2 linked regions of the Struthio camelus genome follow. Each later gene encodes a partner of the first gene's protein in a complex. Links are inferred from orthologs where the notes say so. Each region holds a gene or a part of one and is shown on either strand. Other genes may lie near its edges.

Region 1 (3,901 bases):
TAAGTTTGAGCAGGACTGAGACCCGTGTCTCCTGACTGCAGGAGAAGGACGCGTATAGCGTTCCCGCCTTGCGAGCCCTAGACGGAAAGCTGCTATGTTTAGTCTGAAATACTGACCAGGGAACGTTTGTGTGCACAGACCAAACGCTAGGAGTTAGAATGAAAACAGGGGCACGAGCAGGTATGTGTAGATACCTATGCGCAGCGTGCACTGCAAAAACAGCAGCAGCAGTCCAAAATACGGTGGTGCCAATTCCTGGTGTGTTCAAGAACAGCTATAACTCGGGTAACTTCTTGTGCTTCTTTTTCAGGCCTGCTTTTTTTTGTGTGCGTGGTATAACAGTGCCGCCCCCTGGCAAGAAGGGATAAGGAAAGGTAGAGTGAAGGTTTTCCAGGAGAGCCCCAGCTGCTGGGAGCGTGCCGACCCGTGCCCTCCGCTTGGGATCCTGCGCTGCCCCCCTGGAGCAGTGGCGCTGGAAAAGCAGCATGGGGAAGGTGTTTAATTCTGATTGGTTTTTTTCTGCCCTCTCGATGGGAGGTAGGTGCCGGGAAGGCGAAGGGAGCAGCGCCGGGCGGCAGGCTGCGGGGATGCTCGGTGGTCTGCGGCTAAGAGGCTGGACGCGGCCGCATCGCGGCCAGCGCAGATCCCCTCCTAGGGCCGCCTTGTCGGACTGCCTGTTAAGCGAAGCTGTGCCCTGAGGGGTTCAGGCCTCTCTTTTACACCCCAAAAGGCAAACCTGTGCCTGTATCTGTGTCCGAAAAGTGCTAGGTTTTGCAAGGATAGCCACGGCCCTCGGTGGGACCCCCCCTGCCCCATGCGGGTGACCTGCGAGCGGCCCCTCGGCGAGGAGGGACGCGGGCAGCGGCGGCGGGTTAGAGCAGGGGCGCGAGGAGGCCCCTGCTGCGCCGAGGGGTCCTGGGGTGGCCACGCGGGGGCTGGTGGCAGAGAGGGCAGGAGAAGATTTGTCTTTAGACTTGTCCCGGCGCGGTTTTCTTTTTCAACTCCAGGTTACGGAGAGCGGTTCCCCGCAGGCGGACGGTTAAGCGGCCTCGGGGGCGTTTCAGCGTTGAGCTCGTCGGCAGGGCGGGCTGCGAGGGGGCTCCCCGTGCCGGGGTCCCTGGCCGTCCTCGGGGCCCGCCAGTCGAGGGAGCGGACTGTCACGTTTTTGTCACGAGTTGTCGCGCTGAGGGCTGCCGGCCCGCAGCGGGGAAGGGTGTCTGGGGGTCCTGCTCGAGGCCCCGGGCTCTGAGGGGGGCTCTGCGCCGGGTGGGAGCGGGGCCGGGCTGTGAGGGGACCCGCGGGCCGGGGCTGGGGCGGGCTGTGAGAGAGCCGCGGGCCGGGCCGTGAGGGGACCCGCGGGTTGGGCCGGGCCGGGCTGCGCCGTCCCGCGCGCGCCTCTTTGTGCGGGCGGGCGGCGCCGGGGCGCAGCGCGCAGGCGCGGCCCGGCCCCGCGGCGGGGGGGGCCGCAGTTGGCGCGAGATAGGAAAGTGCCTGCTGCTGCCGCCGCGCTGCCGCCCGCCCGCCTGGCCCGGCTCGGCCCGGCCCGGCCCGGCTCCCGCCCGACCTGCGGCTCCGCGCCGCCAGCCCGCGGCCGCCATGGCGCGCCGCAGCCGCGGGTGAGTGGGGCCGCCGCCTGCGCGCGGGGCTCCGTGCCCGCGCCTTCCCGCCGGGCGGGCGGGCGGGCGGGCGGAGAGGGGCAGGCGGGCGGGCGGGCGGGCGGTCAGCGCTGGGGGGAGGCGAGGCGCAGGCCGGCGGCGGCCCTGCCTGCAGCGGGTGCCAGCCCGGGATTCCCCCCCCCCCCCCCCACTACCCCCGCGGCGCCTGGGGCCCAGCCTGCCCCATAGCAGGCGGCAGGACCCACTGCCGGGCCCTCGGGCTCTGCCTCGGCCTGTTCCTGCCCGGCGCCCCGCTCAGCCCCGCTGCACGGGCGCTGCGTTTCGGAGCAGGGCAGCGGCCCGGCCCCCCGCTCCTCAGCTGCCCTCTGGGGCAGGGCTGGCTGCTCCCGCTTGCCCTCGCTGGTGTGGCGGGCTCCGTGCCACAGGCCTCTCCGCTGGCGAGGCCGTGGTCTGTGCCCTGTTCCTGCCCCTGAGCAGGGAAAAAGTGGTAAAGGAGACCTAAGCGCGTGCTTGGGGCTGCTGATGTGCAGCAGTCGGTGCCCCCAGGATCACTCTCCCAGGGCCAGCGCAGCTCCGTGGTGTGGGCTGCCCAGTCCGCTGCAGAAAGCTGCCCAGCATCTCCCTGTTATCGTTGGCCTTTGTGGGTGCAGTGCTGGTGGGATGTGCTTGCAGGAGTCCCTGCCTGGGTGGTGTGAGATGACCTCTCCCTCGAAATCTTGCCCCAAAACACTTAGCTTCTCTTCTGAGAGCTGCTCTGGGGCCTTCCAGACCATTTTGTTCTTGTTGAATTGTTTTGGGACTGGCTTCTCCTCCTTTTTTCATCTCTTTTGTTTACACCGGCAATCAAGGAAGGAGACTGATGATCTGCAGAGATGGAAAGTGGTGCCAGCCCTTAGACACAAAGCCCTCCCAGAGGGGAAAAGCTAGCAAAAATCAAGAGAAATGTTCCTTTCCTTGCTCTCTTGGCAGCATAGGAATTGCTAGCACACACCAAGATTTCAAAGCTGAGGACCCCTTTTAAACCTTCTGTATCCGAGTTAATGTCTGTGAGGTGTTGAGATTCAGCATGGGGAAGACCGTAGATCTGGAGCTCTGCTCTCTGCTCTGGAGGTTGCTCTTTCTGCTGTCTCTTTATGGGAGGAAGAAACAATAACCTTTTTTTGTTTCTTTCTTCAGTGAGGACCAAGATGATTTGCATTGTCAGGATACTGACTCGGATGTGTCAGAACAGCGGGACAGCAGGTGCAAAGTCAAATGGACACAGGAGGAGGTGAGTGAGAGCCTGGCACTTCCTGAGAGCAGGTGTTTCTGGGGAGGGTTGCAGATACTGTGGTTGTTTGGGGGACTTCTGGCATGGATAAGCTGTAAGAGAACAGCTGGACACATGGAAGGAAGTCGATGGCGTTTGGTGAGGATGTTCATTTATCATATCCATTAGCAGCTGGGAAAGGAGGCTGTCCCTGGCCTCTGGCATGGCACCTGAGGGGTGGGTGCCTCCATCCAAGTCCTCACTGACTGGCCACAACATCGCCTCATGTCTTGTCTCGTTACTGGAAAGGCCTTGGGCCTGTTTTGCTGACCTGAGCTGAGATCTTAGTGAGGATGGAGTTTCAGGTGAGTCTAAAGTGCAGCAGGAGGGTTGGAGCTCAGACCACTTCAGCTTAGGCATCCGAGTCCTGAGTGAGGCGTCTAGTGCCTGAGACTCTCCAGTGAGCGAAGAGCGGTTCCAGAGGATGGCTGAGGCGTTGCTGGGCTGAATCACACTGTGGTGCTGTAGAGATGCCCTCCCTTTTCTGTAGCGAGAGCAGAGAACGCTGAGAGTGTTGGGATCATGGTTTAGTCATCCTGGCCGAGAGCCTGAAATTAGTTGGGATGTTCTCTGCCTCCTAGTTCCTCCATAATCTCTATTCTGTGTGAGAACTACAAAATATCCTGTTGCTCCTGGAGTTTGAACGCTGAGTAAGAATGGTCTTTGTGCAGAGATCGAAGCCTCTTGGGCTCATGTTGGGCAGGGAATTATTTCTTACCTCTTTGCTCAGCCGGAGCACATGGGCAAGCTGGGCTGTAGCAGACTTTGCCTGATCTGTAGGAGTAGGGGAAAGGTGTGGTTTTTGACAGAAGTGCTCTAAGGGCTCATCAGTGCTGAAAGGCAGGAGGCTACTAGGTTGGCAGCGATGCACTTGGACAGCAAAAGCAGTGGTTGAGTTGAAGAGAGACCGTCTGCTCAGGGATGTGCTGGGACTGGATAAGGAGATAGCCCTGGCTGCACGGTACCGTTTGCGCTA
Region 2 (3,901 bases), on another chromosome or scaffold:
GTATTGTCTGTAAAGGGAGAAAAACATGGATTTAGCAAATTTTCTGTTCTGTATGGCTTAGATATTTCTAAAACATGGAAATAATAGTGTTTCGGCACACAAATACTCCCTTCCCCCTCCCCCCCGGAGTAGCACTAGAGTGACTTTGTGTTATAGAATTAAAAAAAAAGAAAAACGAAGAGTTACTGCATACCTGGGACGCATGTCTAGCGCTCTGCTGGAGCTCTCGTTTCTTTCAGAAATGTCACGTCGTGGTTTTGAACGGAACTAGTCTAGGGTTGCTCCCCCCCCCCTTTTTTTTTAAAACTCCCAAGACACTTGTCTATTCTTTTTGTCTCTTTAGGAATACTTAATCCCGCTTTGTTGAAAGTAACTTTTGATGACGAGAGGGCAGCGGCAGGGTCCCGCAGGTACCGCTGGGCAGCGGGACGGCGGGGCCGGGGCGGGGGTCGCGCTCGGCCCGGGCGGCCTTTGTTTCACAGCGGGCAGGCCAGTGCCGCCCGTCCCGCCGCCCGCGCAGCGGCCGTCACCGCGCCGCCGGGCCCCGCCGCCCGCTCTGCCCCTACCGGGCTGCCCGGGGCGGGGCGGGGCGGGGCGGGGCGGGGTGGGGCGAGGGGGCGCGGCCCTGCCGCCGCCGCCGCCGCCGCGGGGCCGTCAGGGGACACGGCGGCCCCGGGCCTCGGCCCTCGGCCGGCTCCGCCCTTCCGCCCCGCCCCCTGCACCGCCGCGCCGGGGATTGGCGGGCGGCGTGTGTACACACAAGGGGCCGAGCCAATAGCGCGCGGCGGGCGCCCGAGCTCACGCGGTGCGGCGGCCAATGGGAGCGCCCGGCTGCCAGACGCCGCCAAGCTTGTGCGGGGGAGAAGGACCCGGGCAGAGCACGGCGCGGCGGCGAGCGGGGCCGGGCGCGGGGGGAGGTGGCGGCGGCGGCGGCCGAGCTGCAGTCGACGCCACCCGCCGGGGCTGGCGCACCGGCCCGGGCGGGCTCCCGTCTGCGGGGCCTCCTCGCTGGCGGCGGGTGCGCGGCGCCGGCCCGGCCGAGAGGCGTCTTCTCCGCGCGGGGCCGGGCGGAGCGGCTGGCTCCCCGCCTCGCCGTCTGGTAAGGGACCGTCGCTGTCTCGTCGCCGCGGCGCCGATGCCTAGGCCGGGCCTGCGCCGCCGCCGCGCTCCTCCTTCCTTTCCCCCCCCCCTCCCGCGGGGGCGCAGCGGCGGCGCCTCCCCCGCCCCCCCCCCCCGGCGCCCCGCGGCGTTTAACGGCTGCGCCCGCGCCCCCCCCCCCCCGCGCGGCGGCTGGCGGCTCGGGCGCGCGGGGGAGGCGGCGGCGGCGCCTGCCGCGCCCGGCGGGGAGTCGAGCCGGTGCCTGGCACCTGCGGGCGGCGGCGGGTGACAGCCGCCCTGCGCGCCGCGGGAGCGGGCGGAGCGCTACGCTGCGGGCCGGGCCGGACTGGGCTGGGCCGCCGCGGCGGGGGCGGGGGGCGCTGCCTCGGCGGCGGGGGCCCCCCCCCCACCCCCCGGTAGCCGGAGCTCAGCCAGCGGCTCGTGGCCCGGCGAGCCCTGCGTTCAGCCTCGCGTGGTTGCGCTGACTGCCGGATTCTCTCGGGGGAGGGTTGGTGGTTTGAAAAACAATAACAGCGTGAACTAAATAGACGCCTCTTCCCGTGCCCTCTGAGTTGCAGGCCTCCTCTGACTTTTCAGCCGAAACGGGTTTAAAGATGGAGAGGAGTCCGAATGTAAACGCAGCCTTTCGGGTTTAGGAATACAGATCGTAAAGGCATGGCACAACAATAGCAGGAAAGCATAGAATAAGTAAACTTCCTTGAGATGTGGAAGAAAAAAAACACATCTGGGAACTTGCTTCCCCATGGAGCAGAGAGATAGTGCTGAACTATGTGTGAGAGCTCGGACGGTTTCTTCATATGCTGCCTTCTTCTGTAGAAAGGACTCTGGTTTTCATTTTCTCTGTCGTTTTTTATGATAGTTAAGCTGATATAATTTAACAGATGTGCTGTATAATAATGAAAAATGATTATATGCAATTATTTTAATGAAACTGCGTTAATACTTTTAACAGTTGATGAGTCTTTTTCAGTGCTATCCCTTACATAGTTTAGCGTTGCTGATAGAAAAAAGTCAACAAACTATATGTTATGTGATGTTATTTTAATTACTTGCCACTTGATGTAATCTTTGATTAAAAAACAACTGTATGCTGCTATGAACTGATGCTACTAAAAGAGAAATGAATGAATTATTTTCCAGCGCTCTGCCCTCCCCAGGTTAAATCTGAATCATTTGATTAGGATATATTTTGTTTTCTACAGAAAACATCATTTTATGCATGGACAACGTCTCATAAAGGAAGATCAGTGTTGTAATACATATGCAGAACTCTATTTAGCAGCTTAGGTTTGTGCCAGTGTCATGTATGCGCAAAACCATTGTGCATAGTCAAGTCCTGAATTTCAGTAGCTTCTGTTCAAAATAGCATCTAGTATGCTAAATATAGCGCTTTGAAAGAGCATGGAGAAGTTCATGCTATAGAAAAGCCTTGACAAGAGAAGTAGTCACAAAAGAAAAAAAGTACAGATATCTCTTCTTTGAAAACTTTTTTGTTGTGAAGAGAGTCAAGTGCTTCTACTAGAGGTAAGAATAATAGAGCGAATAATTTAGTGTTATACTGAGGAAAAAATGGAAAATGACTAAATATTAGCAAGATTATCTCATATGGGTTGAATTTAAGAGCAATCTTATTTTACTGTCAAATTCATTGGGCTTTCTTTTAACCACTTCCTGTTTGCACAGAAATCACTGTTTTTGCACAGAGGAGAAAAAAGAAACTATTTAACTATTAGTTTGCTGATGTAGTTAGCTTTATAGAAAACATGCATCACTGATAGGCGTGCTCTTCATTGCCGCAAAAAGTTCTGATTGTTGTTCTCGCTCTACAAAATGATAAGGTATAGTTTTCAATACGTCTTGAGCCCAGCTGCCTGGTATAGAAGGGGTAGGCCAAACAACTTAGTTGGGCAAAAGGCATAGTGCTGTTTTGCAAGAGATCTGATGCTACATGAGAAGTCTTTGCTTCTGCTTTTGTGTACGTTGGACTCTATTGTAGGGGCCTCTTGTGCATCTGGACGCACTTGCTGGACAGTTGTGCGCCGCTTCAAAATGAAGAAAAGGCCTTGCCTTTCAGCATCTTTCTGTGGGTTTGGCTAAAAGTGCTGTTACAGGACTAGCCAAAAAAAGGAACCAAATTTCCAACTTTCCATCCCCTTCTAGAGTGTATATCGTTAACTGATTTAAGGGAGCAGACCACTTCATTGTACCTAGAAGAGTTTGGTGCAATTCTCTAAAAGCAAAGGGCAATTAGTGACCTGATATGGTTAGGGAAGGGAAGCTGAGGCCCATGCTGCGTAAATACTAATATTTACGCCCGTGGGTCCTAATTTGAATCAGAATGGGTTCTTTAGTTATAGCTAATCTAATTCAGTTCTTGGAGTTGATTTCCTTGATATGCTACCTTAAAATAGCATTCTTAGCCCTGTCTTTATTCTGCTATGTTTTCTTAAATTGCCTTTTCTGCATGCTTTTTTGGTATAACGATTAAGGATTTCTCACCCACCTTTCTGACTATATTCATAGAACGTGACTACTACTAGTGAAACAATAGTGAATTTTAAAATAGAGTGAGTTGATTATCCTTTTTCTGATCTAGTGCAAGAAAATAAACTTATGGAGTTTCCGGGTGCAAAGCCAATCTGAATCAATCAGACAAGTTTATCATAAAATTTAAGATATTCAGTGGAAAACAATCCTTAGTGGAATAATAGTACATATATTAAATCAAAGTTCATATATAAGATGCCTATTGAGGGATCTCAAGAACTAGGTGTATGCTAGG

Evidence for each region.
Region 2: MYBL2 (region 1) and TFDP2 share a complex: the UniProt entries of both Homo sapiens proteins name them as parts of the DREAM complex. The link is inferred for Struthio camelus from reciprocal best matches to the Homo sapiens genes MYBL2 and TFDP2.

What each region holds. Positions count from the first base shown.
Region 1 is NC_090959.1:5,763,615-5,767,515, reverse strand, and holds the start of MYBL2 (myb-related protein B), read left to right. Parts: upstream 1-1,527; 5' UTR 1,528-1,596; coding exon 1,597-1,616; intron 1,617-2,792; coding exon 2,793-2,886; intron 2,887-3,901. UniProt on the Homo sapiens protein: Transcription factor involved in the regulation of cell survival, proliferation, and differentiation. Transactivates the expression of the CLU gene.
Region 2 is NC_090950.1:15,383,393-15,387,293, reverse strand, and holds the start of TFDP2 (transcription factor Dp-2), read left to right. Parts: upstream 1-984; 5' UTR 985-1,099; intron 1,100-3,901. UniProt on the Homo sapiens protein: Can stimulate E2F-dependent transcription.